2 linked regions of the Drosophila melanogaster genome follow. The protein of the gene in region 1 purifies or fractionates together with the protein of each later gene. This does not show direct contact. Each region holds a gene or a part of one and is shown in the gene's direction. Other genes may lie near its edges.

What was found.
Region 2: the proteins of galla-2 (region 1) and Mms19 purify together in Drosophila melanogaster (affinity purification with western blotting; one study listed by BioGRID). This does not show direct contact.

The regions. Positions count from the first base shown.
Region 1 is NT_037436.4:10,880,526-10,894,134, forward strand, and holds galla-2 (galla-2), read left to right. Parts: upstream 1-2,364; 5' UTR 2,365-2,437; coding exon 2,438-2,558; intron 2,559-2,613; coding exon 2,614-2,963; 3' UTR 2,964-3,048; downstream 3,049-13,609. Other genes in the region: CG6409 (uncharacterized protein), read right to left, coding at 267-1,337, 1,482-1,493; OXA1L mitochondrial inner membrane protein, read right to left, coding at 3,950-4,134, 4,209-5,265, 5,377-5,460; Cpr67Fa1 (cuticular protein 67Fa1), read left to right, coding at 9,524-9,535, 9,693-10,085; Cpr67Fa2 (cuticular protein 67Fa2), read left to right, coding at 11,243-11,254, 11,493-11,885. UniProt on the Drosophila melanogaster protein: Component of the crb-galla-Xpd (CGX) complex which is essential for proper mitotic chromosome segregation in early embryos. The CGX complex is also required for cell proliferation in developing wing disks.
Region 2 is NT_033777.3:5,229,025-5,245,847, forward strand, and holds Mms19 (Mms19), read left to right. Parts: upstream 1-3,518; 5' UTR 3,519-3,617; coding exon 3,618-3,702; intron 3,703-3,766; coding exon 3,767-4,150; intron 4,151-4,360; coding exon 4,361-4,710; intron 4,711-4,768; coding exon 4,769-6,214; intron 6,215-6,281; coding exon 6,282-6,704; intron 6,705-6,818; coding exon 6,819-7,010; 3' UTR 7,011-7,264; downstream 7,265-16,823. Other genes in the region: Kat60 (katanin 60), read right to left, coding at 683-804, 998-1,601, 1,969-2,289, 3,033-3,044; rtp (retinophilin), read right to left, coding at 7,375-7,642, 7,849-8,149, 8,208-8,235; CtsF (cathepsin F), read right to left, coding at 8,867-9,132, 9,189-9,370, 9,430-10,173, 10,468-10,595, 14,814-15,230; CG33293 (uncharacterized protein), read right to left, coding at 11,280-11,540. UniProt on the Drosophila melanogaster protein: Key component of the cytosolic iron-sulfur protein assembly (CIA) complex, a multiprotein complex that mediates the incorporation of iron-sulfur cluster into apoproteins specifically involved in DNA metabolism and genomic integrity.

The DNA.
Region 1 (13,609 bases):
TTGAAGTAATATTAAATTATATTACAATTGAATTAATTCTTGGAAGTTTTACCCATAATTAATGCCTGAAATGCAGTAGATACCACTTTTTACTTTGCCTATTATATTAACTGCCTTTTTACAGACAGCCATCCACATAAATATTTATTAAATAATTAACGCCCAGTCTTTTTATATAAGCATGTAAATATTTGTGTTTATTTTAGTTCGTTTCGCTGACTACAAATCTCGTGATGGTCCCATTAGCGACTCTTAACATAGGAAGCCTAGGCCTTAGCTTTCTCCTTGCTTTCCTCGGAACTGGAAGTGGACTTATCCGCGTGCTTGTTCTTCTCGAAGAGCTCGGCCACGGGAATGGGATGGGGGATGTGGAGATTGTGGATGGACGGAGTGGTGCTTTCCAGCTCCGATTTGGTGGTGGATGGGAGATCGGTGGTGGTGGTGGCTTTGGTTTGCGTGGGCACGGGAATATCGCGCTGGTGACGCTGTTCCGGCGCCTTTCCACCGGCCAGAGATTCGATGGCCTTGTGGAGCTCCTGGGATCGCTGGGGATTGTGCTGGAGCGACTCACGGGCCTTCACGCTGTCGGGTTTCTCCACAGTCTCGCGCTTTTCCTGCTTCTTGGGCAGCTCGGCGGTGTGGGCCACAGCGGGCAGGGCATGGGGCAGCGAAAGATCCTCCACCTGAGGACGATCACCTGCCTCATCCTTGTGGCCCTCCTCGTGGTGAGCTTCCCTCTTTTCCTTCTTGTCCTCATGTGTTTCGGGAGCCTGCTTCACTTCCTCCTTATGTGGAGCTGCATCATCACCATGGTGGCCTTCCTCGTGGTGAGCCTCTCGCTTTTCCCTTTTGGCATCATGAGCTTCGGGGGCCTGCTTCACTTCCTCCTTATGAGGAGCCTCATGGTCTTGGTGACCCTCCTCATGGTGAGCCTCTCTCTTTTCCTTCTTGGCGTCATGGTCCTCGGGAGCTTGCTTCACTTCCTCCTTCTGGGGCACTGCATCGTCACCATGGTGACCCTCCTCGTGGTGAGCTTCCCTCTTGCGCTTGTGGTCCTGTGGCCCAGCCGGAGAAGGCTTCTGGTCATGAATAGGAACGGCCGGCTGCGAGTGATGCAGCTGTTCGTGGGCCTCCACGCTGTCGGGCTTCTTGGGTTCATTACGCCTCTGGCGATTCAGGACGGGAGCATCCTTCAGCAAGACTACCTTGGCGGTGGGCTTGGGATCAACGAGCACATCGGGGCTGATGGGACTGGGCCTAGAGAGCTCCTCAGAGGTAGACTCCTTGACATCCAGAGGTGCTGCGTGGCAGAAAGCCACCAGGGCTAAGAGAATAATCTAAGAAAATGTGCAACACAAATAGATTAAAACGTATTTTATATTCAAAAGATAAAATTTATAGCCCTCATTAATTAACCGATTACAATAGCTTGTATGGAAAACTCAGGGATAATCTTCAAGAGAACTGAGATCTTGACTTACAACCGACTTCATGCTGACCGCTTGGAGATGTGACCCAAACTGCTGATCTCAGCCAAGTGGCGACCCATTTTATAAACCCAAATGGGCGACCGCAGGCTTCTCCACTCCGTTGGCAGCGGCTGTTAACCAGTTTGTAATTCGGTGCTAATTGCGAATAGATGCACGCCAAGTGCGCGGAAACCCGTTCACAATGTAAATCTGCTTTTCTACGTTGATATTGATAAGTCTGGCTAATTATAACCCGAGGAAATCGGCGTCAAGTGCGCCGGCTTCTCGGCAACGCTGCTTCTCGTAAAAGCGGCAAAATGGAATAAAAATATGGAAAATAAAAGCGGGTTTGGCCGGCGAAATGGGCTCAAGGCTTAGTCAGCAGCGCAGCCAAGTACGGACTCATCCACATCCACATCTGCTGGCCATTTAGCACTGGCTCGCAAAAAAGTTAAGCTCGGCTAACTTAAGTTAAGTATTCCCGCAGCTAATTTGAAGAGCACATAAATATGGATCGCGAGGCGTCTGTAATTACGCCCTTTACGTAAGATGACAGGTAAACATATCAATTGTGCGATGTTTTCCTGGAAGTGTACGTTGTGATTTGATTGATCTAGTAATTGCCCTGATTTTCTTGAATTTGTATTCAAATAATTCCAACCTTAAAAAAGGCTACTGTCATTAATTAAAAAGATTTCATTAACTAACTTTAATAGCGTAAGATGCGCATAAATGTATAACTAATTAAATGCTCTGTTAGATGAAACTATGAAAATGAGATCAATTTCGAATTCAAATAATGTTGGCGCCCAAAAAGTGTGTGCACACCATAAACTAGACGTGGTGTTATTTTGTATCTTATAGTCTAAAAACTGCGGACACACTGAAAGACATAGCTTATTGTTTCTCTTTGCTCTTCGCCAAAAAAACGTGTAAATAAAGGGTTTTCAAGAAAAGAACAATACAAAATGCCCACGGAAATCGAGAACATCAACCCCAATGTCTACGACAGAATCAAGGAAAGGGTATTAACCGCCAACGAAGAAGACGAAAACGTGCCCGATCCATTTGACAAACGAGAGATTTTCGGTGAGTTCAAAGAAGATAGCTAAGGAATATATCTTATGACTCGCGTATTTCCCAGATCTCATCAGAAATATTAATGACCCGGAACATCCTTTGACCCTGGAGGAGCTGCATGTGGTGCAGGAAGATCTAATCCGGATAAACGATAGCCAGAATTCCGTGCACATCAGCTTCACCCCGACGATTCCCCATTGCTCGATGGCCACTTTGATTGGCCTCTCCATCCGGGTGAAGTTGCTCCGCTCGCTGCCACCTCGCTTTAAGGTCACCGTGGAAATAACGCCCGGCACCCACGCCTCCGAGCTGGCGGTGAACAAGCAGCTGGCAGACAAGGAACGAGTGGCCGCCGCCCTGGAGAACAATCACCTCGCCGAGGTGATCAACCAGTGCATCGCCGCCAAGGGTTAACTACATGATTTTATCCTCGTTTTAGATATATATAAATATATATATAATGATGTTGGTTTAGTAATAATAATTTTGTTTTAAAAGCAGTTTGTGCCTGTTTTCCTTTCCCGAAATTTGGATCGATTTTAATTTTTCAGACATTGTAATGTTTATTATCTTAATTGTTAGTTATTAGTAGGTAGCAATAACATGGACATTCGCCATACATCATTTAATTATTGGGTACTCTTTCTCAGCTGGTTAAGTAGTAATAATAACCTTTTACTCAAATCGAATTGTCTGTCAGAGAAACTAAATTATTTCCTATTTCAAGTTTGCATTCCACGTATGGTTAGGAATCATCATTGTTTTTATGTCTATGACTAGACTTGTTTGGATAGATAAATAATCCAAAATGGTTTTTAAACTATCCAACCAATCTTTATGGTTTGCCATTAAAAACATGTAAATGCTTTGCTTCTACTTCTCTAGTTATTATAATTGCTATTAAATCTTTTATTTATTACCTGAGCCTATGCTAACTAAAAGCTAATAATCGAGGTCAGCAACTTGAAAATTCACACCGGCTTCGATTGATTGATGGTTTTTGATTGCACGGCATTTAAACTGAGACTAATAGTATTTGCTGAGCATTTCCATATTTTTTATAGTAATGCGTTAGCTATCCGCAATTAATTGTATATTTGATTGTCTTTCGGGACCGTATCTTATCTGAACTGAAAACACTCACCAATTTCATTTATAGCTGATCATGTTTTTATATACATTCGTATCTTCCATGACGAGTTTATTTTTACAGCGATTACATCTACCAAAACTTTGTCTCCAACTTCTCAAATCAGGTTTCATCAGCAAGAAGTTTGCCTCTGTACATTTACAAATTATATTTTAGCAGCAAAACGTTCGGATGATGAAGGACTATAGACTAAGGGGTTAAATTAACGTAACAAGACACAGCGCTCAGCGGCGATTACAGGATGGAGGAACTATCCCTGCTTGTTCGGCGGCTCCTTTAGCCGCATGTGCGGCTCCGCGGAAATGGGTTTTGCCACTTTCGTGGGATCGAACTTGTACGTCTTGACCAGCGGACCCTTGCCGGCCTTGGCGAATCGGATCTCGTCCAGGCGCTGTCGCTCCTCGATTTCTTTCGAGATCTTCATGTTGTCCCAGGCTGGAAAAGTCAAAACAGAAAGGTTGTAAATCGAAAGAGGTAAAAGATGAAGCGGGACAGTCCTTGTTACTTACACTCCTTCATTCCGCCGACGAATCCCTTCTTAGGTGGCAGTGCACTGGGCGCATGGGTCAGCATCTTTTCGATCTTGAAGTACTCCCTCACGGAGGGAATCCTTAGCACCGCAACCTGCCCCAACGATATAAAGTTACTGCACGCCCAATAGGTCAAAATGGCAGCGGGGAAGTTCATCGTAAACGGGAAGATAACAATGGGCAGGGCTCTGAGCACATATTTCATGGTGTTCATGTTGGCAGCCGATAAGCGAGCCGAATCCGTTCCGATCTCAATGGTCAGGTACAACGTGGCACTGGTGATTAAGGGCAGTAGATAGAAGGGATCCGCCATTGTGAGATCCGTGAACCAGAAGAGTCCGCCATCCCGCATTGATTCGACCGGCGCGTTAGCCATCTGTCGCAGTCCCATGAAGAAGCTAATGAAGAGCGGTGCCTGGGCCAAGGGAACTACCATGTTCTTGAGCGGATTGACACCCTTCTCCCGCATGAACAGCATCATTTCCTGGGCATAACGAGCGGACTCAATGGCGTTTCCCGACTGCCTGGCCTCGGTCATTTTCAGCTGCAGCATCTGCATCTGCGGCATATTGTTGTTCATCTTGGCAGAGTTCCTTTGGGCCAAGATGACCAATGGAAAGATTATGGTTCGCACTGCGAGTGTTCCAATGGCGATGGTTCCCCACCAGGGAATATCCCACGTGCAGTGCAAGAATTCCAAACAGTTCTGTACCATGCCCACCGGAGACCAGCCGCCCAAGCCAATGGAGGCGAAGGAGGGTTCGCCAGCGGCATTCATCACATCCATTACATTCAGACCATCGGCGGGTGGAGGCACTGGAGCGGCGGGTATGTCCGGCAGATCCACTAGTTCCGTTTTCGGCACAGCCTGCATGAACTCCTCGCCTTTGGTGGCTGAAACTCCCGCTGCAGTTGCTCCACCGCTGGCGAAACGAAGCTGGCCGAGATTGGACCATTTTTCGGGGGCCGCTAAGGGCAGACTGCTGCCCCTGGTAATCCTTTGGAGGTAGAGATCTCTCCTGCTGCCCGTGGATGCCTGGCAAACAGAGTTTTCATTGAAATTTGCGTACATTTTCGAACACAAACATTGGCCAACTTGCAGGTTATGTCACAGGTCGCCGGCTCTTTTTCAATGATCTTCACTCACCTGTGGGGTGAAACGGCCGGCTGCGGAAGTCATGGCCATTGCCGCGTTTGTTGTCCTCCAAAGCTGCATCCTGTGGGCCAACATTTTCCGCGCAGCGCTCGTAATTTGGTCAAAATAAAATTAAATGATAAAATTCGCCTCGTTTTGAGCTAGGCGAGTGCGAGCGAGATGGACACAGTTACGCGTGCGGGTGAACGGCAATAAAGAAGCAGAGTCACAGCTGTTCCGGAAAAGCGCCCTCTGGCGCTACTTAGCAAGACTATAGATTACCGCTAAAAGTTTAAATGAAAAGAAATAAATTCAAAAAACTTAAATAATAAAAAACTTTAATTAATAAATTAATTAATTTGGAAATTTATACATTGTAGTTTAGTTAAAAAAAAAACAAAACGAAATACAAAAACAAAAATGTAATATGACAAGTTTCTTTGGGACAAATTTTGATGTTTTTAATACTTATATTTATCAAACATTTCGCTTACATTACTTTTTACGTTTCTGGGTATGTACATCAACCTCTTGAGAAATTAAGCTTGGTCAAAATTTCGTGTTGACTTAAAATTTTATTTGAAATAAAATCACTACTGACAAAAATCCAGTAGCCTGCCTCTTAACTTTCTCAAATTCTTTAGAAGTTCTCTTTTATTTCGATACGAATCTATATCATTATTATTCTTATTATTACTATTATATTATATTCAATGTAAATATTAACATTGGTTAAAACTCCGTAACGAAAATATGACATTTTAAGGGGCATTTAAACGTAAATATAAAACATTTTTTGATTGCTAGTTGAGTCTGGAAAATGTTCTTAATTCAATTTCAAACAAGAAATTGGTTCTCAAGCAAACAACATTGTGGAAGGTGCTAAAAGTCATCTTCAAATTAGGAGACCTATAAATTAAGAGTCAGTTAATTTTTGGAAAACTACATTAATAATCTCGCAACTCGCTGCTAAAAGCTATTTAAATATTACCCGCTCTATGACATCCCGGAAGGCCAACAGGTTATGGGAAAATGCTAAAAGTCAAAATGACAAATTTGGCAATATATGTATCAGTTTCGGTTTCAGTTTCAGTTTTAGTCCAATTAATATGCACACGAGTTCAGCCCAATTAATTTGCATTCAATTTAATACACTAATAATGAAGTCTTAATGTTTGGACACATGACAACCTTTTAAAGCAGCTTGAATAAAATTATTTGCCTCGAAATAAGAGGGTTGCGTATGCATTGACCTAGTCATTAAAAGTATTTTTATATAACATAGAAAAAATAGTTGCTATTTATTTAGAAAATATAAAATGAAGTTCCTACCTGAAATGTAAGTGAATGAAATAAATCCAAAATAAAATCTAAGAAAATCAAATAAAATACTCTTCAAATGAAAGGTAAACTAAAAAGTTTTGTGTGCATATTTTTAAATCAATTTAATTGGAACGATTGCTAATATATGATATTTTATAATATTTCAATTTCATTTAAAATAGTGTATATTTCGTCCGTGCTTAAAAATCGGATACATTCAGTTCTCTTTAGAAATACGATTCTCTTTATGTGCAGATTGGCATGGGAAAAATAAATTATAAATTCTTTTCGGCATGGTTGACAAAACTTGCACCAATATTGACGCCTGATCTGCATAAAACTGAATCGAAACGGAGAGATTATATACGAAATTATACATATCTATAGCCCGAAATCGGTGTGAATTATTGAAGCCGCCGAAGCCATTGACGCGCATCTCATAGCGATGCCAATTTGTATATTAATAAAAAAAAGAAACGAGAAAACCGAATAAGTCTACTAAAAATATTATAATATTTGGAACAAGTTTATGCCTAAAATGTTGCTGACCGAACGAATGATGCAGTTTTTGAATATCGATCAGACTACAAAAGATAATCGTTAATAAGTAGTCACTCAAATATATCAAATGTCATCATTTTGGCCATTTCGAATCGACCTTACTCTTTTTTTGTCGGTACTATCTTTTGGGATTTATTTCTATACATATATGTCTTCTTGTCCAAACTTGGCTATATCGCCCTTAAACGACTTACAACATTCGGCTAAATTGAGCGACTAAAATCTATTTTAGTATGATTAATTTAAATTTATGCGAAAACTTCGACAAGGTTGATTCAGTGACACTAAAGACTAAGCTTTAAGAGATCTAATCACTTTATAGCCACACTTTTAAAGGCAGCCTGCTCATAACACGGCATTAATAAGTGGCATTAAATTAATAATCATAATCATATCTCGGCACTATGCATAATTATGGGAATAAAGTTCAGAGGGGATCCCCCGACTGACTTCGTGACGACAGCAAATCCAAGGGTGCTAAGTACGTAATCGATGTTCGATCTGTTCTCAGAATTACCACAAGACTGTGCCTAAATTCAATAAATCTTTTGAATGTCTTTGGCACGACGTTACCATGTTACCGAAACACACAAATCCAACTTTGTATTAAACGCAACACAAGCACTTCCTATCGATCCGAGCAGACGGACTATTTCACTCTTGGCGTGTCATAAAGTTTAGTTTTACGAGCGACGTGTTCTCATCGGATGGATACATATCTGCCCAAGGCCATGCCCCCCCAGGTTGAATAATTTCATTGGCACATCGAAAACCTATCAGCACAGTGTGCAGAAGGCAGACATTAAAGGATCAAACGATTTTAAGGCTTTAAATATGATATAAGTATTTATTAAAGATTTTTTAGCATCCAGGTCCAAAATAAGGAAAAATATGTCTTACATTTTTAGTGCACTTGAGTGAGGATATTGAACTCGTTTTATTAAATGCAAATATTTCATTTATTCTCAAAATATTTAAAACATTATTTAAGAGGTCATTAAAAGAAACAATTTGTCACAACTTTAAGACGTGGAAAGTCATATAATCATATATACTTTTACTAATCGGTACCTAAAGAAATTAACATAAACTCGATTGTTTTCAGAAAGATATTCGATACTATTAATTTTAAAAGCTTCCTGCTGACTGAAGAACTGGTTGCGAACCACTGTGCTAGAATATGATACAATATTTTGAAAAATCGCATTAAAGGTGCCGCTGGTGACACGATACGTTTGGTAGTATTTGGATTTTGGATAAGGCGGATTAGGCGCGCCTGGCAACGGGTTAATCCAGTTTGATATCTCACTTGTGTACCAATTAGGCATTAACTCACTTTAATGGCCCAATTTGTTAAACGCACACATTTCAGCACCTCAGACGGACTTCATCACACGCGTAGAGCCAAGAAAAGGTTTGACTTATCGAACTGGAAAAGTTAACCATTGAGCAGACCGGAGTAAAACCATAAATTATGCTAAAATTGTATCGAGACTGGTCGGTGTTTTAAATGCATTTAATTAATACAATTTTTTGGGTGCGCCGCCTGAAACTGAATTTGGAACCAGAAACTGGAGTCTGCGGATCTCGAACCTCCAAGCCGACCTATGTGGCTGCGACATTGACATTGCCGCATGGGGTTCGTATTAACTTTTGCTCTTTGCAATGCCCACACGCACAGCAGCGGTCAAGCTGGTAGGACCTTATCTAGAAATAAGGTGCCTAAGAAGGAAAATAATGTGTATCAAGTAATACATTTTAAAGAAAATTTAAGCACCTAAATAAACTTAGTTAACATACAAACATAACATAAAATTAATTATTAAATTAATTATTAAATTAAGCTTTAAAGTATTTGAAAAACTCTTTAATTATGTGAAATGAATGTTTGAAAAGGCCATACATAGTTGTATATATTATATATATATATATACATATACAATTTATATATTATTTATATATTATATTATATATCTTCACCTTAGTTGTTTGAATGTGCATCACATCTTGGTTTGATTGAAAACGAAAAGAGTGGATTTTTGAACTTGTGCGTAGCTCTTTGGCTCTCAAGTCACTCTTAGTGCTCCAGTTTGGCCAATTTCGGCTATTCGATTTTATTGTTATTCAGATGAGTTTCCTGCAGCAGAGCGTAAAAGTTGTTTCGGTGGATCTGGTTTGATGTCGACAATTGGTATAAAAACCTAAACAGTCTGCAGTAAAGTCACCATTCAGAGTCGTCTCTCAGTTTAGACAAACGCACTCCAAGCCAGCAAAGATGTTCCGCTACGTAAGTCAAAAGGATATTTACTTCGACCTAAAACGAGTTGTGTTTAGAATTCTTTAAGATATTTTAAACATCTTAAAATATTTTAAACTCCTATGGACTCAATCCAAAAACGTCTATGATCAATTTGTAACTGACTGGGATCCACCTGCTTTTATAGCTGCTCGTCGCCTCCGCTATCCTGGCCTGCGCCTACGGTGCCGCCACCTACAACCAGGAAGCTGGTGCCTACATCACCAAGATCGGTTCCGACATCCAGCCCGAGGGCAACTACAACTACCAATACGAGACCAGCAACGGCATCGCCGCCCAGGAGTCCGGAATTGGAGGAAACCACGCCAACGGAGGCTTCTCGTGGTACTCGCCCGAGGGTGAGCTCGTCCAGATCTCGTACGTGGCCGACGAGAACGGTTACCAGCCCCAGGGAGCTCTCCTGCCCACTCCTCCTCCAATCCCAGCTGCCATCCTTAGGAGCTTGGAGTACATCCGCACCCATCCCCAATACGTCGAGCAGGAGTACCGCAGGCCCGCCCTCAGGAAGGTCTTTGGTTAAGCGGGAGCGGAAGTCTTATGTGATAACATTTTAAAAGAGCTTTATTACGATTTAAAAAATGTTTTAAAATAAAGAAGAAAAAAATTACATAAATCTATGTTTGTTTAAACTATTTCAAACATTTTGGATGAACTAGAATAATGGGTGCTTAATATATGAAATATGGTTTAAGATCCCACGAGGAAACGTAGCAAACATATTTCAATTGCACCTTTATTATTACCTATATTAATATTTCAATTTTCTCAAATTTTCTTGTTAAAACTATTTTTTTAAGGATATGCTTACTTTACCTTCCTATTTGTTTTATAGTGCGAATATACAGGCAATTCTATGTCAGATTTTAAGAACCAAATTAAATACCACAAACTTTCCATCCGTTGTCGAGCAGAAATTAACTATCAAGTCCTTGAAATTATAGGGGTACTTGCCCTATAAAACGATCTGTAGTACTTATTCCGACCAATACCATCTACTTGACACCACTTATTTAAATAAAATATGTTCCCTTATTGCGACACAGGTTGAACTGTTTATTTTTATGGCCTTTAAAATGAACAAATATATTTTAGATAACTAATCAAAAACAATTGCTTACTTAAAAAATAGAGTTTTACCAGTAGTATCATGGGTTTAGTTTATTAAACTGCCCTTTTAATCTGTTTAATTAATCTGCTCATTTCAAAATGATAACGAGTTGATTATCTCATCTTTAATATTTTGTACCATAATTTGGTGAAATAAATCGTATAATACTTTATAAGGATCGATTGTTGAATTTAATCAATTAAAAAATGTTAATTCTTAATTAAAACTTATTAGATACTATTAAAATATATGTGAATATGACTTTTTTAATATATGCATAATTTGATGTTAAATATAACTATCTTGCCAGATGAATACTTATGCAAAAGTTAAGAGCCAAATTTAAGTGCGTTTTTTGGCTCTTTACCTTTTTAAGCCGCTCCAGTTTGATCAATCTCAGTTTGGCCATTGTCATTCATATGAGTTTCCTGCCGTCTGCCGTAAAAGTTGTTTGGGTGGATCGGGTTTCGTATCGAGAATTCGTATAAAACATTGCTGCCCCGCCACAGAGTCATCATTCAGAGTCGTCTCTTAGTCGCAGACACACGAACTCCTCCAAATCAGCCAATATGTTCCGCTACGTAAGTATATCGCAAGGATAACTATAGCACAGCAGTGGAAAACGACAATTAGTGACACTAAAAATATCAAAATATTAACCAATATAATAAATAGTTTATACTAACGATAAGGATTAACACAAAAAATAAGTAAAATAGAAAACAGTTACCGGACTTAGATACCATGGATAGAATTGGCCTTTCAAGACATTGGAAATTTCATCAAAAACCAAATTGCAATAATAACATTGTCTTCTAGATGCTCGTCGCCTCCGCCGTCCTGGCCTGCGCCTACGGTGCCGCCACCTACAACCAGGAAGCTGGTGCCTACATCACCAAGATCGGCTCCGACATCCAGCCCGAGGGCAACTACAACTACCAGTACGAGACCAGCAACGGCATCGCCGCCCAGGAGTCCGGAATTGGTGGAAACCACGCCAACGGAGGCTTCTCGTGGTACTCGCCAGAGGGTGAGCTCGTCCAGATCTCGTACGTGGCCGACGAGAACGGCTACCAGCCACAGGGAGCTCTCCTGCCCACTCCTCCCCCAATCCCAGCTGCCATCCTTAGGAGCTTGGAGTACATCCGTACCCATCCCCAGTATGTCGAGCAGGAGTACCGCAGGCCCGCCCTCAAGAAGGTCTTTGGTTAATCGAAATCGGGACTAGAATGTGCCAACATACATATGAAAAGCTTTATTACGAATCGTAAAAATGTAAATGTAGAAATGAAATAAACGTCGAAGATGTAAAGAAAACAATCTTAAAAGTCAAATTTGCGTTGCTTAGGTTTACATGGACCAAGATCAGAATTCAAAAAATAACCGTGGGGAATATCAAAAAAATAAATCCCAACTCCTTAGCATCATAAATCCAAGGATATGATTGAAGGACATTTAACGATCATAATCAAGAAAAACCATCATCTATAACAACAATTTAACAATTTCTGTTTCATACCCTTTGTTTAAAACGGGTATTCAAATCGATAAAAATAACTTTTTACTAATGCAATTGTAAGTCAGTGTGAAAACAGCAGAGAAAACGCTATAGTCGAGCAAACAATTTTTAAAAAATAGTGGGCGTAACATTTTTTTGAAGTTTGTGAGCAAAGTCTGGAAACTGCATATTTAATTCGAATTTTGTAGGTTTCATATTTCCGGAGACCTCAAAGTTCAGACAGACGTACGGACACTTGGCAGATCGATCGCAGATCCTTCATCCTGTTACAAACTTTTCATCGAATCTAAAGTACCCACTTACTCTACGATTAACGAGTATAAAACTTGGTATTTGTTGGAGTGATTTATAAGCTGTTATATTATATACATATGAATTGTTTTGGCTTACTTACCACACACACTACATTAACACCATAGTCTGTGCTAATAAAAACTTATATTCAATAGTATACTTTTTGGATAACACCAAAATGCCAAAGGTTTCAAAACTTATTTAAATGCACGCTAAACTATAACTATCTCAAATCGGCAGCAGTCGTTAGACATTTACGATGACACTTGGTGTTTTGTTAGAGTTTCAAGTTCGTCTCAGATCCAAAAGCAAACTGCTCTGCCGGCATTTGCCCGCATTCATATTTCATTTGCATATCATTAACAACAAAAGCCGCTAATCGAGTGACAGAGCGTAGAGTATTTTGGCGCCTCCATATCGGATACTCTAACTATTCAGTAGGCGGTACGTTGACTTGGTAACTGGGTTTGGTGATCACTGAAAGCTCAATACCCATTCACTTATAATCAAAATATTTTTATACATTTTTAGTTTAATTAAATCTTTTAAATTTAAATAAAATTTATTTCTAGTACAGTCAGCTTTTCCTTTTAAAATTAAATGTTACATTAAATGTATAATACATATATATTTTAAATGTTTCTTTTAGAAAATGTATCACTCCCCAAATCATATACATTTGTATTATTATACATTAATTTTACTCAAGAGAAAGAGTGTGTCATATTCGCTGAAATATTTCTGGTAACTCCAAATTCGGCTTACGATTTATTTATTTATTATGAATATAAGTCAAGATTAGATAAGAAAAGAGCCATTGTGTGGCAGCGTCTGTAAATCGAGATCGTTGATCTGTGATTTCTAAGGCGCAGATAAGGAGAGGCCTTTACTCATAAGTTGGCCTGGGTTATAGAGCACCTGGGTCGTAAAACCGTAGTTAAAACAAACAACAGATGACAAAGCAGCTATTAGGCGAACTACTAAGCTCGTAAAAACGCGGTCAAATTCATATTTTCAAATGCGCGAATTAAATTAATAATTCGGAATGGCGAAGAGTCACCTGTTCGGCGATGGTGTAGGTGTAGGTCAGTGATCGTTGCGAGTATAAAACGATCTGTCGCCG
Region 2 (16,823 bases), on another chromosome or scaffold:
CATAAATATCTAATTATCTACTATCCACGTTAAGTCTATCTTTCTTGCTATTGTTTATTCAGTAAGATGGTAAATCGAAAAATGGTGCTGTAGGCTTCTCTGATGCCCATTTCAAACATCTTTCGCCCACGCAAAATTTCATGGTATCCACATTTTAGATGGGGAAAATATTTGTTGGACGGAAATATTTGAAAACAACAAATATTCTTACATATATGGTACAACACGGTCAACATAGCAATCGAGCTCAGTCTCAGGTGTTTGGATCAGTGATTTTTAATGTGACTTAAAGGCGTTAGAAACACATGGTCAGCATTCCATATATATACATAATATATACATAATTATTTATTTTTTTTCGACAGGTTATTATGGATCGATATTCTTTTGAACGCACACATAGTTTGATAAGATAACATAGATAGAGGTACATCATAATCAGCATAATTTCAACAATGGAAACTTTTAAACCGCCCCAAGTAAAAGTAGAATGTGTTGACAAGTTCCACCACCTAGTTAAGAGGGATAAAGCTGCAAGGCGATGCATTTCGTGACAGTTCAGAATAGTTGATCAAATACACATTGCCCTGAGCACTATAATAAAGCGCGTTTGTTGACCCATCGCGAGATAAGCGTTTGGCAGAATGTGATTCACAGAAAACAAACAGCGGGGGTGACGCACCTTGAAGTAGTCCGGCATGAGCATTGGCAGCACGACGGCCTCCTCCAGCAACCGCTTGGCGTCGTGCAGGTCGGCAATGTCGCTCCAGCGCACTTTGGGATCCTTTTGAAGAATATCACGTTCTGAAAAGAGAGCGTTGGCATGTAATAAATGTAGCTATACTAGACCCAAATTTTCATAACTACTACCATTTTTGAAATAGCCACAAATCTTAAAGCAAGTAGAGTAATGCATTAGCTTTGCTTAATAAATAAGACTAGCACATCACCAAATTTTGAACGAGGCAAACCTTGCGGCAACGATTTAGGCACCTACCAAGAATGTCGACTAGCTCGGCTTCGATGTGGTTGTTGGGCTGAAACTTGCGCTCTTCCTCTTGGGCGGCCTGCGGATCGCCGTTTTCTCCATCGCCAGCCGCTCCGCCATTGTTGCCTGCAGCGGTGGAGTCGTCGTCCCTAGCCTCGTTGGTGTTCGATGTGGATAGCTTGCGACCGCCAGCCCTTCCATTGGTGGTGCGTGCTCCGCCGCTCGGTGCTGTGGCGGACGTTGAGTTGCGGGAATTGCGTGTCGAGGCCGGACCATTCCGGGCAGTGCTCTGCGGGATTGTGCTGCTGGGGCGGCTGTTTTGCGTTGCCGGAGTGGTGCGGCGGTTGTTCGGTGCGGCTCTTCGGCCAACGGCCTGAGTGGTGGGTGGTGGCTTCGGCGGACCCCACACATCTGGATCCTTGGGCGGAGGCGTCCAAATGTCGGGGTCCGGCTTGAACCAGGCAGATGGATCTTTACTGGTGGTGCTTTCTTCGCTGAGCTGGTGTCGCAGCTTGTGTGCAAATTTGGTTGACTGTAGGTCCAGCGAGATGTCTTGTAGGGTTCTCTGAATGGCCTTGATTTTGGCGTGCTCCTGGCTAATCTGCTGGTTGATCTGCAAATCGAAGATCAGTTAGTTAAATGATGTCAATGAAATCGTCCGGTATGGTAAATATTAAACTTTTTGAAAATACTTGGTTTATTATGATCTATTGGAGTTTTAGCCAGTTACTTTGTGCCAGTAGTGCTAGAAATTACTTTGTAATTCAAATTTTAGTCATTCGGTAGTGTTCTGATTAAATTAAATCTTTATATGCACGTTAACGATCTAGATAACTCGTTTACACAAAACCTCTTGGGCAATTTTGAATGGCGTTGACAAGATGTTATGACTAAGTCCTTTGTTTGTCATAACCGTCACCATTCGCATTCATTGGCATGGTAGTTGACAGTATCTGGAGGTGGTGATAGGAATGTCTTACCATGCTCCACTTGCCCTTGCGTAGCGGATCCGCGGTGGCCTTCAGCTGGCGGGCGAGCAGCCCCTGGAGGCCCTCATAGTAGATGCAGGCTGAGTCGTAGTTGCCCGTCAGAGCCATGTCCCGTGCTAATTTGGCATTCTCGCATATTTCTTCAAACGTAGTCTTGGCCATTACGGTCATTCCTACGCAAGTGGTTGTCTTTTGCTTGCCACCTCGCAGTAACTGGCGATCGGAACAGGTTGTCGTCATTGTAGCCAAAAACGAGAGACAGAGATTAGTTCCAATTAAAGCGCTCGAGTGCGTGAGTTTCTCCAAGTGTTGCTGGGTGGGAAGGGGAACAATAGAACGGAAGCGACTTCGTCATTCGCTGGCTCGCCTTGCAGGTAAAAATGGAAAGTGCGCCTCCCAGCCAGAAGCGAATAAAGTGGAAAACCCGGCGACAATTGCGAATAATAGAAGATGCCAGTGGCAACGACCCAAGTGAGCTGCTAATTATAAATTATCAGGCGCACAGCCGCCGACTTGTCACCAAATTTAAACGCAACGCGCTCCGATTTTCAATTCCGCCTCCAAGGCGGGACGTGGGCCAAATGCCGATTGGAAAATGTATTAGGTAGTTATGAGCCGAATAAGGCGTTCGACCTTGTTGGCTTTGAATGATTCTTTCAACTCGACTCAAATCGTCGTATGCAAAAAAAAAAAAAAAAACAAAAAACACAATAGTAAAAACAACAAAATTAACGCTCGCACACACACACGCACACTCAGCTCAGGTTTCAGCGGCACACAACACACACTTTCGCACACACGCACACGGGCGCACAATGGGTCGAATTAATGCGATCTAAATAGAATTTGAGTTAATTGCAAGCCTCTGGACACAGCAAACTGCACTTTGCATTCGACACTTCACCGTATTTCTTATTCTTATGCTTCTTATTTTATTTCCAGCTATGTGGGGGCGTCTGCAGCTGCAGCAACCACAAGAGCAACAACAACAGCAGCGCTGACGTCTCGCCGCCGCACACCTACAATTGCAGCTGAGCAGTTCGCGGGCGACTTACGGTTATGGACATTAGTGTACTAGCTTTGTTACGCGGCGTTCCGAGCGCAAAATGAATGCGTAAACTATTTAATTCAGAGTTTAAGGTGCTGCGGTAGCTAAAATAAACTGCTGCCTGCCTGTGTTTGTAATACTAGTGATGTGCGTGCTCTGGTGATGCGGGGCTTATCGATACATCGGCGCGGACACTTGACCACCCTGTTGCGTTCCCTGTGTGCAACAGTCGGCGACTATCGATTGTTTCCAGAGCTGCTAAAAATATATTTCTAAATTTACAACGAATTACAAGAAAATAAAAAGAAAATCTCCGTATCGTGTCTATCGATTATAAATCAATATACAATATGTAAGTATATTTTCCAGTTCTAGAATTTGTCTCCGAGCCACACATTACCATCCCTGAGCGCCACTGCAATAAAAGCTATATTAATCGCTAAAACATTTGCACTACTGTAACACCAGTCTGGCATCGCTGTGATATAGATAAGGCCAGTACGACAAGTCATCGGTTATCGGTTCTTAACATTTCGGCTTAACGTGCTTAAACTCATTTAAATTTAGACACCACTCAAGCGACGGTGCCGCAATGACAACGCCCACGCGCGCCACCCTGGAAAAGGCTCTGAAAAGCGACCAGAAGCTTGTGAATTCCGCCACACAGATAGCCAAGGGCAGGTTTACACCCGCATCCGTGTCGAATGTGCCCTTCTCATAGAGATTCTTTGTTTCCTCCAGATCTGACCGCCAAGGCATATGACATATCTGCTCTGGCCGAGGCACTGGGCTTCGCCCTGTCCTCTCCGGACATGGAGGAGCGTGTGGCCGGAACCAACTTGCTCTCCGCCGTGTTGATAGCACTGCCCCAGGATCTGCTGCAAGAGCGGCAGCTGGAGTTCCTCAGCACCTTTTACATGGACCGCCTGCGCGACCATCACAACGTAATGCCAGCCATTATCGATGGAATCGACGCCCTGGTTCACATGAAAGCTCTACCGCGCGCCCAGATTCCCCAGATTCTGCAGTCATTCTTCGAGCACACCACCTGCCAGTCGCAGACGCGGAGCGACCGCACCAAGCTGTTCCACATTTTCCAGTACTTGACGGAAAACTTCCAGGACGGTGAGCCCTGATTTCATTTTAGCATGAAAGATACATTGACATTGCTTTAATCCGATTTAAACAAGTCAGTGTGCAAAAAAGTTATAATTAGATGATTTTAACTAGTCGAACAGATATTTGCGACAATCTTAGTACCTTTTATTTCCGTTATTTTTAGAAAATATTACACAATATTACAACTCAAACAAATCAATTTTCTTCCCGATACAGAGCTGCAAGCGATGGCCGGTGACTTCGTCTACGGCCTGATCAATTCCATTGACGGCGAGCGTGACCCCCGCAACCTTGACATCATTTTCAGCTTCATGCCCGAGTTCTTGTCAACGTATCCGCTGCTGCATTTGGCCGAAGAGATGTTTGAGATCTTTGCGTGTTACTTTCCAATCGACTTTAATCCCAGCAAGCAGGATCCAGCGGCCATAACCCGTGATGAATTGTCCAAGAAGTTGACTAACTGCCTGGTAGCCAACAACGAATTCGCTGAGGGCACAGTGGTACTGGCCATAGAAAAGCTGGAGAGTGAGTTGCTGGTTGCCAAACTGGACTCCATAGAACTGCTGGCAAGAAAACGTAACATTTTGAAATGCCTCTTTTTATACATGCTATTTATTGTTACAGCACCAAGCTGCCGTGAAGTTCCCGCCTTCCGTTCTGGAGCCGCACTTCGATCAGATATGGCAGGCTCTGAAAACAGAGACTTTTCCAGGAAATGACAATGAGGAGATACTGAAAGCTTCCCTTAAGGCGTTGTCTGCGCTCCTGGAGAGAGCTGCTCACATACCGGATATAAGCCACAGCTACCAGAGCTCTATTCTGGGCGTAATTCTACCGCATCTCAGCGATGTCAATCAGCGGCTCTTCCATCCTGCCACCGGGATCGCCTTAGTTTGTGTATCGGGAGATGCGCCCTATGCAGCGGACAAAATCCTCAACAGCTTTTTGCTCAAGCTGCAGGCCGCAGATGCTAGTTCTGAGCAGCGGATCAAGATCTATTACATAGTTAGCCAAGTCTATAAGCTATCTGCGTTGCGTGGCTCTCTCCAGAAATTGGACACCACGATACGCGAGTCTGTGCAGGACGATGTAATCGCCTCCCTACGCCTAATTGAACAGGAAGAGTTCGATGCCAAGAAGGAGGACTTGGAGTTGCAGAAGGCGGCCCTTTCGGTGCTTAACGAAAGTGCTCCTCTTCTCAACGAGAAACAACGCGCTTTAATTTACAAAGCTCTGGTTCAGCTTGTCAGCCATCCGTCCATCGACATCGATTTCACCACACTGACGGTTAGCCTTGGAGCCCTGCAACCGGTGGAGGTGCAGTCAAATTTCATTGATGTTTGCGTGCGAAATTTCGAGATTTTCTCCACATTTGTCAAACGAAAGATATACACAAATTTATTGCCGCTCATGCCTCAAATAGCGTTCACTCAACGCATTCTAGATTTGGTTATGACACAGACGTTTAACGATACTACTGCAGAGCCCGTCCGTTTATTGGCTCTGGAAGCATTAAACAAACTGCTCCTGCTAGCGGATCAGCGCTTTATCGTGGACGTGCAGCAGGAGTCCAATCTTCTTCACAAGCTCATCGAACTGGGCCAGAAGACCGAGGGTCTGTCTATGCAGTCGCTAGAACAGATTGCGGGCGCTTTAAGTCGTATCACGCAACAGCTCCCGCTCTCCGAACAAAGCGCTATAGTAAGCGAGTATCTTCCTGGACTCAATCTGAGTCAATCGGCTGATTTGTACATTACCAAGGGCCTGCTGGGCTACCTTCATAAAGACATAACCCTGGATGACCACTTCGAGCGGCTTCTGACCGATTTGACGCAGCTTTCGCTTAATTCGGACAACGAACAGTTGCGTGTAATCGCTCACCACCTGCTCTGTAGCATGGTCAACAAGATGGAGTCGAACCCAGCTAATCTAAGGAAGGTCAAAAAAATCACGGAGCAACTGAAGGTGGCTATTAAAAAGGGCGATGTTCGGGCGGTGGAGATCCTTGCATGGGTGGGGAAGGGCCTAGTAGTCGCAGGATTCGATGAGGCTGCCGATGTTGTTGGTGATGTATGTACTAGTATAGCCATTTTAGTTCTCTAGTTCTTATTCGTGAAATAATATTGTCTCATTAAAGCTCTCGGATCTACTAAAACATCCCAGTTTGAGCACTGCCGCTGCCTTGGGATTCGACATCATTGCCGCCGAGTACCCAGAATTGGATTTGCCTGTCGTTAAATTCCTCTACAAGCAGAAGCTTTTCCACACTATCATGGGAAAAATGGGCAGCAAACTTGCCAACTACTGTGTGCACCACTTGAAGGCTTTTGTCTACGTACTGAAAGCCACGCCACAGGCGGTTATTAAGCTAAACATTGAGCAGCTCGGTCCGCTGCTTTTCAAGAGCTTGGAGGAGCACAACGAGGCGCAGTCGCTGTGCATTGCATTGGGCATCTGTGAAAAGTTTGTGGCGCAGCAGGACACGTATTTCCAAGGGCATTTGGCCCACCTCATACCCAGCTGTCTGGAGCTGTCGAAATACAAGGCTCAGCATACCATGGTAAGTTAAACATGCACATATTATTATAAAGATTTGATAGTTAATTGAGGAGGTTTCTTAACTTGTAAAGGAAAATGTCGAACACAAAACTTAAACTCATTTTCTTTCTTATAGCAAGTGCGAATTGCGGCGCTGCAGCTGCTCTACGATGTGACAAAGTATCCTACCTTCGTCCTGTTGCCCCACAAAGTCGATGTTACTCTGGCCCTGGCCGCCGCCTTGGATGATCCCAAGCGTCTGGTGCGGAACACAGCGGTGAAGGCCAGGAATGCGTGGTACCTGGTCGGTGCGCCTAGTCCGAATTAGCAGAGAAACAACTCCGTTCTTGTTAATATTATAATCCAATAAGCACACGCACAAATTCTTCATAATTTTCTTGTTGTTTTTATTAGGGTGCGTTGAAGAATTTTTGATAAAGAATTTGGAAAAAGCAAAATTATAAAGTAAACGCGAAATTGTATGCATTTTATATTACTTAGATACATTTACGAACGTTTATGCGCAAATGTATTAAAGTTTAAGATGTTAAGAAAGAAATGCTTATTTCTTTTCTTAAAGGCACCTTTTTCTGTTTTATGACTTGAGACTCTTACAGTCGGTTACTAAAATTTGTATTTTTAAACTGTACGTGTTTATCAATACCAACTGGTAACCAATCTGAAGTGTCTGTTCAGTATGGGTGTTCGCACTGGGAACGGGCCATAAGAGCGCACTTTTGTGCACGCTGCACCACCTCGGGACATCGACGTCGTCTCATAAAGCGGCAGTCTTGAAAGAATCCCTCGTTTCTGGGAAAGCCGTGCGTGAAGTCCTGGAACGTCAGCAATCCCAGGCCCCAGATCTTGCCGCCTCGAAACTCGCCCTCGTACTTCATTCCATCGGCTCTCCAGAAGATCCCATTACCATGAAACCAGCCCTGATGAAACTCGCCTTCGTATCTGTCTTAAAAATGTGCAAAATGAATCATCATATACAATTTTCTTCACTGGATGCAAACCCTAGGTAAATTATAGCTAAACCATTTCTGATCAAGAATATATATACTAGCATTTCCTCTTACTCCCCGAGTAGTGGCTACAAGAATAGTTTTCAAGTGCTACAATATTTCGTTTAGGTTTACATCACTAATATTATTGAAACTGACTTTGCTCCATCCGCGAACCAGAGGCAGCCCACTCCTTGACTAAGACCCTCCTGGAACTGCCCATCGTAGCGGGTGCCATCGGCGAACTGCAGATGCCCGATGCCGTGCTTTTGGCCACGCTGGTTCCACTCGCCGATGTAGCGACTGGCGTCCTCGTATCGCCATCCGCCCACTTTGACCGCCCCTGCGCTGTACTGGCTTTGACCCTGGCCCTGTTGGTGGTGTCCATGCTGACCCTGCTGGTGGGGGTGCTGTTGGTGCTGGTTCTCGATTCGGGCCGTGGTCACGCCCACGCTGCTCACTGGGTAATGATTTTTACGCAATTTTGTATCTGCATCCTTTTGTCTGTGTTCACTTACTGTCATCATCGTAGTCGTCCATGGCCATTGCTCCGCTACCGCCCGCGATGCGCTTCAAGCTGCTACTGAGCTGGCTGGTTCTGCACCAGAAACACTCATTTTCTATGGCTTCCCACGGTGCGACGGCCCTGGTCTAAATCTAATTAACATATTGCACTTCTACACACTGACAAAGTGTTTGAAAATCAATCATCAAAATCACTGGGTCAAATGTTCCAGTAATTGAAGCAGTTATAAATATTTCTTAACAGCCAATAATACTCTGGCACCCATATTTAATCAAACCATTTTAATCGAATAATTTGAATACATCTCACATAAATTCAACATTTTTCTTGATCCAACCAACCATCAATCTTGACCAACTGTTGCTGCGGCCAGAGCTGTCATGGATTCAATAATAAACCCAACCAGGTTTTAATTCTTGTACAATTTATTGTTATTTTCAATTAAAGCGGAATATGTGGATGCAGACTTTTTCGTGAGATTACAGATGTCTGAAATGATTATACTATATAGGCGAAGCTTTGAAACTCAACGACTCCTTATCGTGACGGTTGAAGAACATGGAAACAGAATTAATTGTACACAAAGTTACTGGCTAAATTATTAACCTAGATATAGTCGTATGCTTGTATATAATTGGACTCAAAGCAAGTCTAGGCCAGCACAGCCGAAGTGGCCATTTCGCTGACGCCGCAAGTGTTGTCACCACGATAAACGCGATAATAGCCCTGCTCTCCCCAGCGCGGACCCCACGAGTTCTTCACAATCCAGTAGGGCAAGGTCTTGTGGAAATTGGGATAGTCGGAGACGCCATACCCCACAACTAGAACACCGTGGTCGAGGTTTTTCTTGGAGCACAGGGCCTTCCACGGATGGGAAACTCCGCCGCGATAGAACTGCATAGCATTCGCATTGATGCCTAGAGAAATGATCTGGTTAAGTGGGCTTTGGGGTTAATTTTCTGCATCGACTTACCGATCGAAATGGGACCATTGGCGAGAAGCCACTCCTGCATGGCGGTCTCATTTCCCTTCGGCAGATCCACGAAGCCGGCAACCTGAACGTGGGACAAAGTCCTGTTGAAGTGGCACTGATTCTTTTTGGCCTTGTATGGGTACTCAGCCTCGTACTCTAGGCCGCCAATATCCTTAATGGCCCTGCGGAGGAATTATTACATAAGTATCTACATCGTAATGTTCATTCCCTCGTAACTTACTTGTAAGCATTGTCCATGAGGCCGCCGTTGCAGGCACTATCCGTGGTATCACAGTCCAGCAGCTCCTGTTCGGAGAACTCTTTCAATTCGCCCGTTTTCACTGCGTACAGGCCTTCGATGTTGCCGGTCACACTGAAGGCCCAGCATGAACCGCAGGATCCCTGATTCTTCACCTGGGTGACAGCATCCTTCTGCCTCCAGTCAAACTCCTTCGGCAGTTCACCATGGTAAGCCGGTACGACAGCCGCCGATCCGCCAGTGGCCTTTGCCTCATCACGCTGCCAGAGTCCCGTGCGTTCCTTGTATTCCGAGCTGGTCATATCAGCAAACTCCGTGATGCCGTACTTGGCGCTGCCCATCTCGTTGGCGTTTAGCTCCTCGATAGTCTTCAGGTTCTGACGGAAAATGCGCAGGCGCATCTGGCGCTCGGCGGTGCTTACGTAGCGACGGCCAAATCGCACCTGGAACTTGTAGAAGAGGTGGTCCACCTTGTCAAAGCGATGGCTGTGCTTCTTGTGCGTCTTCTTCTCGGCCCACTCCACGGATCGCGTGTGTCGGGCCTGGACCACCGGCTGGTTGCGGCACTTAAAGGTGATTTCGTGCTCATCCTTCCTCACCCAGACCTTTGTCCAGATATCCACGATACAGCGGTGCTGCTCCTCCGACCCGTCGATTAGATCCGCATCGATGCGGGTCAAGATGCCTGAATCCACTTGCCGCGAGGCTGAGTATACTTTCACAATTCTAGAGCACAGCAAACGAGCGAGTCAATTATAATGAATCAGACAAATCTACTTAATGCTTATTAATATAATAAAATGAAGAAAATCCTACAAGTTCTTCAAAAGTGTGTACGTTACATTTTTGAATAGTTTCTGAACCTTACTTCTCTACATTCTGCATGTTTAGTCTTAACTTTCTAGCTTTTATGGTTATGACCAGATCAACTCAGATTGTAACTCTGTTACGCTAAATCTAGCATACCCTTTGCTCTTACATTATTGGTTTAGTCACTTGAATTAATGGATACAAGCTTACTTGTAATGGGGACCCTCTCCCGCGGTCAGTTTGTCCAGAGATTTTTGCAGCTGCGCCTTCGCCGCCTCTTCATCGTAAGGCTTATGCCTACCCAAGATATCGTTCGCGCTGCGTCTGCTGCGATGGACCTGCAAAAAATGTATACATGCATAAAAATCTGGGACAATGTTGATAACATAGTAATCTAGCTTAATTACATAAACAGTAACTGCATGGCCATGGTCCAATCATCCGTCTGTTCATATAAACAAGAAATGCTAGAAAATGTAGTTTACGCATTCTACTGACGCAGATGCAGCACATGACACACAGCAATTGCAATAAATGAACTTTTCCTCTCGAATTTTCTTTATTTTTTGCACATTTCCATCAAGATTCCACTTCCACTTCATGAGTAATGGGTATTTAAAAGCCTTTCAAACGGATGCCATTTAATTCCAGGCTAGTTCCAACTTTTTATGGAATCTCGGAAATATTCCAATCTCGATTTATAAGCTCAGTAAACCATAAAAAGTGTTCACCATTGATTGTTTAATTTTAATGTCGCTAAAACGTCGAGATTAACGCGAACTACTCGTGAAAATATAAAATTTTACAATAACATGCTTTTTGGGGCTATATCTTCGATTAAAATATTTGTTTTCGTTCTCCGTCCACGTAGAGCGCATACAATGAAGATTCCGTCTGACCAAAATTTGGAGAAGCGGTTTCACGAATCGAACTACTTGAATGCCAACTGCTTCGAATGCGAAATGAACTAACTGCGCTGTGGCCCAGAACCATATCGGTGAACAGGAGATGGGGATCGAGAATCAAAGACCGCATTCAAAGGGCACAATGTAGTCGTCTAGCAGCCGCACGCGGCGGAGTCTTCCTTGCGAGTCCACGCCCACGTCACCGCCACTGGATGCAGTCTGCTGTCCGACTTTGAGCCCCTCCTCCTCCTCATTCCTCAGCTCAACCTGGTGTCGCTGCACCACCAACATGCCGGCTGCTATTGCCGCCTCCTGGCGCAGCCATCCGGACATGATCCAGACACGGCGAATGCAGGTTGTCAGTGCGAATCGTTCCATAATGGAAGGAATCTCTGCACAAACCGTGTTTATCGATCAATAAACTTTAAAAAAAAATGTTAAGTATTTACGCACCTTACAAAATATTAAAAAATATATGTCTAGTGGCTTCGGACTGAGGTAACCGAGTAATGTAAACTGAATTTGGACTGGGACGCAAACGACATTGACAACTTAGCTCGACTCCAGGCCCTACTTTGACCTTTATTTTCGAAATGTTTTGCAGGTAGTCCTTACCTCCTTTTATATACCTTCATTATTTCTTTAGGCTTGAATGGGAAACAGACAAGTGAAGATTCCATTAATCCTATACAATATATCCCACCCATACATTCCACGCATCACGCCAAAAGACAAGCCAAATCAGCCCTTTGTTTGCTGTCTGTGAGTTCGCTAATCTTGTGCTAATTACGGAACAGGGAAACACTTATCCATTACAAACAGACACACAGCTGTCACCACATCAGACCTCCGACACCACGAGCAGTGGTGGGTAGGAGTGGAGGGAACATAAGTTATATGCGAATGTAGGTAAAACAAGGATATGTCTGAATTTACATTACCGAATCTGACAAAACGACACATCGTTCTAGTACACGTGGCTGGAAGAGTTTGCGGCAAGGAACATGGCGGTCCAAAGGCATCTCCCATCCCCCAGAATGTGGGATACGCCAACAATAACATCGACAGACACAAGCGGCCCATAAACCATTCAATGCTGAACACAAAACCAATTAAACCAAACATTTCGGCTGGATATTCGTTTGCCGCCTGGCATCGATGATGGTACGAGTAATATGTTGATGCCGTTGATGGGAGTTGGTTTCTGAGGATCCGGAGCCCCAGTCTCTGCCAAATCCACACCCACAGCCAGGAGCCAAATGTCTGCTCCTGCTGTCACACCCGGGCAACTGGCATGGCGAATGCGAATAAGGATTGCAGGTGGAACCACACTCGAAACATTTTATGGCCTACAAGGGCTAGGAAAACATGTAAGTTGAGGAGGAAAAGAACGAATTATATCTTCTATACTACTGTTTGCCCTTGGAGGGAGTTATCCATATATACTTATTTATTCAAAAATTCCAATGTGCGGCTTTAGAAACTTTCAAGCCGAAATGCAGTGCAAATACTTTTGAAGTGCAGGAGGTCACCTATGTAGCGACAACAATACCGAATGGAATGTAATGGCTACGACGTGTGTATAATTAAAAATACAGGAACACAAAAAGAGGCCGTCGCTGGAACTGGGAGTCCGTGGTCATCCCTATAGATGTGTGCATACTGTGTCCGAACATGAATTCATTAAGCTGCCTGCTAAGCACTCCCTTTTCCAGCCTCATCTCAGTTCAACTGGCCTGGCCTACTATCCAACCCATTTTAGCCCATCCCATCGCATCCTATCCCATCTCATTCCATCGAGACGGGGGGAACTGTTAATTCAAATGTGTATTTCAATAAGAATTATATCGTAAATGATGTTTCCACGACCCTGGGGCAACAGAGGAGAACCCTGGGCATGGAGTATGTGGCTCCTGTGGGTGGGAGCAGTGTGCAATGGTCCGTGAAATCCATTCGGATGTATAGACAGTGAAGTGCTGAACGCGGCGCTATACTTTCTGACAGTTGCCGTAAATCAGCAATGCAACTGAACTGAATGGTTCTCGTTTTCAAAGCACTTAATTAATTTATTCCGCGATGACTTTTCCAGGAGCTCATTAGGCACTTATATGGGTTGGAAATAATGTTGGCAAAGGAATTTCCGATTGTTGAACATGTCCAACGAAGATTGAAGCGAATTATCGCGTTCAAATGTAATTTATTTCCCTCTTCGGCAGCTGGATTTAAACAAAGTAATTAAATAATGGATTTATTAATTGGAAGTCAAAAGTTACACTCCCCGCAGTGGCTATTTAATTCCTAAATCCGGTAAAGACCAAATGCCCCTTCAGTTTAAATTCAATATGGTACAATGTAGATACTCCTGCTCACAAAATTTCCAATCAATGGATTGCGATCAAACGGCTCACACTTGGAAAACCCACGCTCTAGAGCAGCGTCGCCACCATTAAAATTGCAGATTGTGTCATTGATTACTTAACCCCTTATGCTCTCGACGCGAAGTCGGGTGGAAAGTGGCCACCGACCGCCGGAGACAAATCGCCCAGACCCACTGTGCGTGGCACCACAGAGCCAACTGCTGTAAAAAGTAGAGCACAAGGATAATGAGAACACTTGCCTCGCACCACTCTGTGTATTTCAGCTTCTGTCGACACCGCGGGCACTACACGGCGAGCGGGAGGGGAATCCTGAGCCTCCACCCACTTAACCTCTCATACATACCGGCACTTGGGGCCAACCCAACCCCAGTTCACAGCCAAGACATATAGACAGGTGCAGATGGCCCCTGCACAGGTGCCACGAATACGGCTAAGATACGGCGGGTTAAACAGATTGCGGCCGTAATTTGAGAGCGGAAACTCATTTGATTATTAAGGTGAAATAAGTGTTCTGCCATGCCGACGAACCCAACCATCATCATCACATCGCCATCGTCATCAGGTGAAAAGGCAGGCTTAAATAAATTCAATTAAATAACATTTTCCTTTTTTATTGTTCGCATTAGGGTGAGTATGTATAATGAGTGGGCTGAGTATTTATATGAGAAAGACAGAGACTCTGAACGATGGGGCTGGCTGTGTGTGTGAGTGTGTGTGTGTGTGTCTGGGATGATAATGAGAATATTCATGATAATGCTGTCGGTATGGTAGTAGCCTCCACCTCGGGATCCTTCTGCTCCCGGCCGGCCTCCTCCTGTTGCTGCCCCTTCTCCTGACTCTTCTCGAAGTCATACGCACCCACCGATAGGAAATCGTCGAGCCAACGCTTCTCATTTTCGTTCAGCTCCGTGGCGATTGTGGTGGTGGCTACGACCTCCTCTTCGTGCTTGTCCTCCACCTCTTCTGCCTTTTCTTCCACATTATCAATGCTAATTGCCGTGGCCGTCTCATTAGTGGCGTCAGGTGGACTAAGCTTGGTGACTGCTATAGATGCGGTTAATACAGCAGGAGCTGCCGAATCCAGAGGGGCAGCCTCGGCAGGAGAAGGAGCAGCAGGAGAAGGTGCACGAACAGGAGCCGCTGAAGCGGTTTTGGTCAGACTGACCTTCCGCCTCATAGGTCCCAGGTTAGTGAGTATCTGTGACTCCAGATTGGCCATCTCTGCGTCGCTCAGTTCTTTCCTCTGACCGCCATTAAAGATGCTATTACTCACATATTTCTCGTTAAGCAGTCGCGCCTTCTCTGCCGGATCTCCGGCCACCGAGTTCACCGCTGGGTCGGTGCAATTGGAGGTAACCAGTTCGCGGTGCTTGTCGCCCCACTGGGTGCGCAGCCAAGGCTTTTCCAGGATGACCAGGCGGCAGACTATGTCCGCTTCCGCCGGCTGTATTGCCTTTGTGTCTAGCGCGTTTAGCAGGATCTCATAGCGCACTCCGGCGGTGATTTCCCGAAAGGCGTCGATGATATTCACAAAGTTCATCGACAGTGGCAGGAAGGTCATCGCAATGTTCTGGACACCAATCAGGTTGGGTGACAAATACTCCCGCTCGCCGGGATTCAGAACGTGGACCAGCGTGATCGGGGGCTCACTCACCGCCTGGTCCGTTGTTGTTTCTGAAGATTCCGTGCTCTATTTGTACGGGTTTTGAGGATTTGAACGGATTGGGGTGTTTGGGGATTGGTATGCGTTGTGGGGAAGGACGAAACAAAAGGCAAAACACATATGAGGATACACACATAGAGATTTCGTTTGGAATTGTAGCAGGCGTTGATGATCGATCCAGATGCCAAATTGGAGTTAGTGCGTCTTTGTAAGGGAGTGGGTGATGTTTCAATGGGGCAAGCCAAGCCGTGTGGTGATTGTGTGATTTACTGTTAAGTGCGGCTAACAAGCATAAGCCAGTTCACCATCAACATGGTTAATCCCACAAATTTAATTTAATTTCGATTTATACCAGTATACCGGGTTATTAGACCAGTCAACCCAAATTAGTTCTCCCATCAGTTTAAACACAGAATACAACAGGCATGGTTTTTGTTAAATTAAACGCTTAATTATCATTATGATTTGTGATGCCATCGATCCTGTTCAAATAATTTTGATTGATTAACCTATTCTTCTTATTAATAGAAATGTTATGCTGGGAGAGCTTGTCTAAATGACTAAACATTTTGCAATGCACGTTGCACCTAATAAGCCACCAACCATTAGCAAGAATATCCCCTTAATTTCCAATTCAGGAAAGCATTACAGCACATGGGGGTTTAAGGTTAATTTCAAATGAAAGCATTGCAAGCACCACGACCTCCTCCCCCAAAGGCTCAGTTAATCGATGCACCCCACACCGCCCCCATATGCACCTGCTCGGCCAGCCGGGCCTAAAGCCTAATGAACTCCGCATAATTGCAACTGCAATTGCGGTCAAAATGCGGCAATGGATCGGGACATCAGACGACCAATCAAGTCAATCACTGGCCAACGCTTGACTGGGCTTTTCAGGCCACAAAAACTAATTAACCGCCGTAACGAAACTGAAACGATGCGAGCCACATCGAACCGGTTGGTGGGGCAATGCCGCACAATCCATCGATAAATGATGAGACACAAATGCAGAAAACCGTTGACAGACAGTCAGTGGAACACTGCAGACGGATTTTGCTGAATAATTAAAAAAAAGTCGGAATCGCAAAAAGGCGGCCCACAATCTTTGGATTGCTTTGACTGTTGCTTCGGTGGGACCACTTGAAAAAATGAAATATCTTGAAGTGTAGTGACAGTATCGATGTCTCAAGAATCCCGACAAATAGATTGCATTTATTTTGCAATAATTCCTTACCTATGGATAACATTATTGATAATTGGTTGTAAAGTTTAAAAGACAAAGTACTAAGGTGAAAAGCAAGAGAGTACTAAGACAATTTCGCGACCATCTTTTAAAATAAAATATTCTTAGGCCATATCATTTATATTCATAGCTCGCAAATTCTGTCTTAACGTTCAGTTAAGCCCTATGTAGCTTAGAGCTTAATGGACTTAGTGGCAGCTGTGAAACCACATTATTTCATAAGTGTATTTCTGCTATTGCTGCTGAAACATTGCAGTTGACAGCGACAGCAGCCGGCAGAAAAGTGAGGATGAGATGTGGGACGGGATGGATGGGGTCATCGGGTAGTTTGGGGGACTGGAATACTTGGCGTCTTGTTGACGTTTTGGTCGTTCATC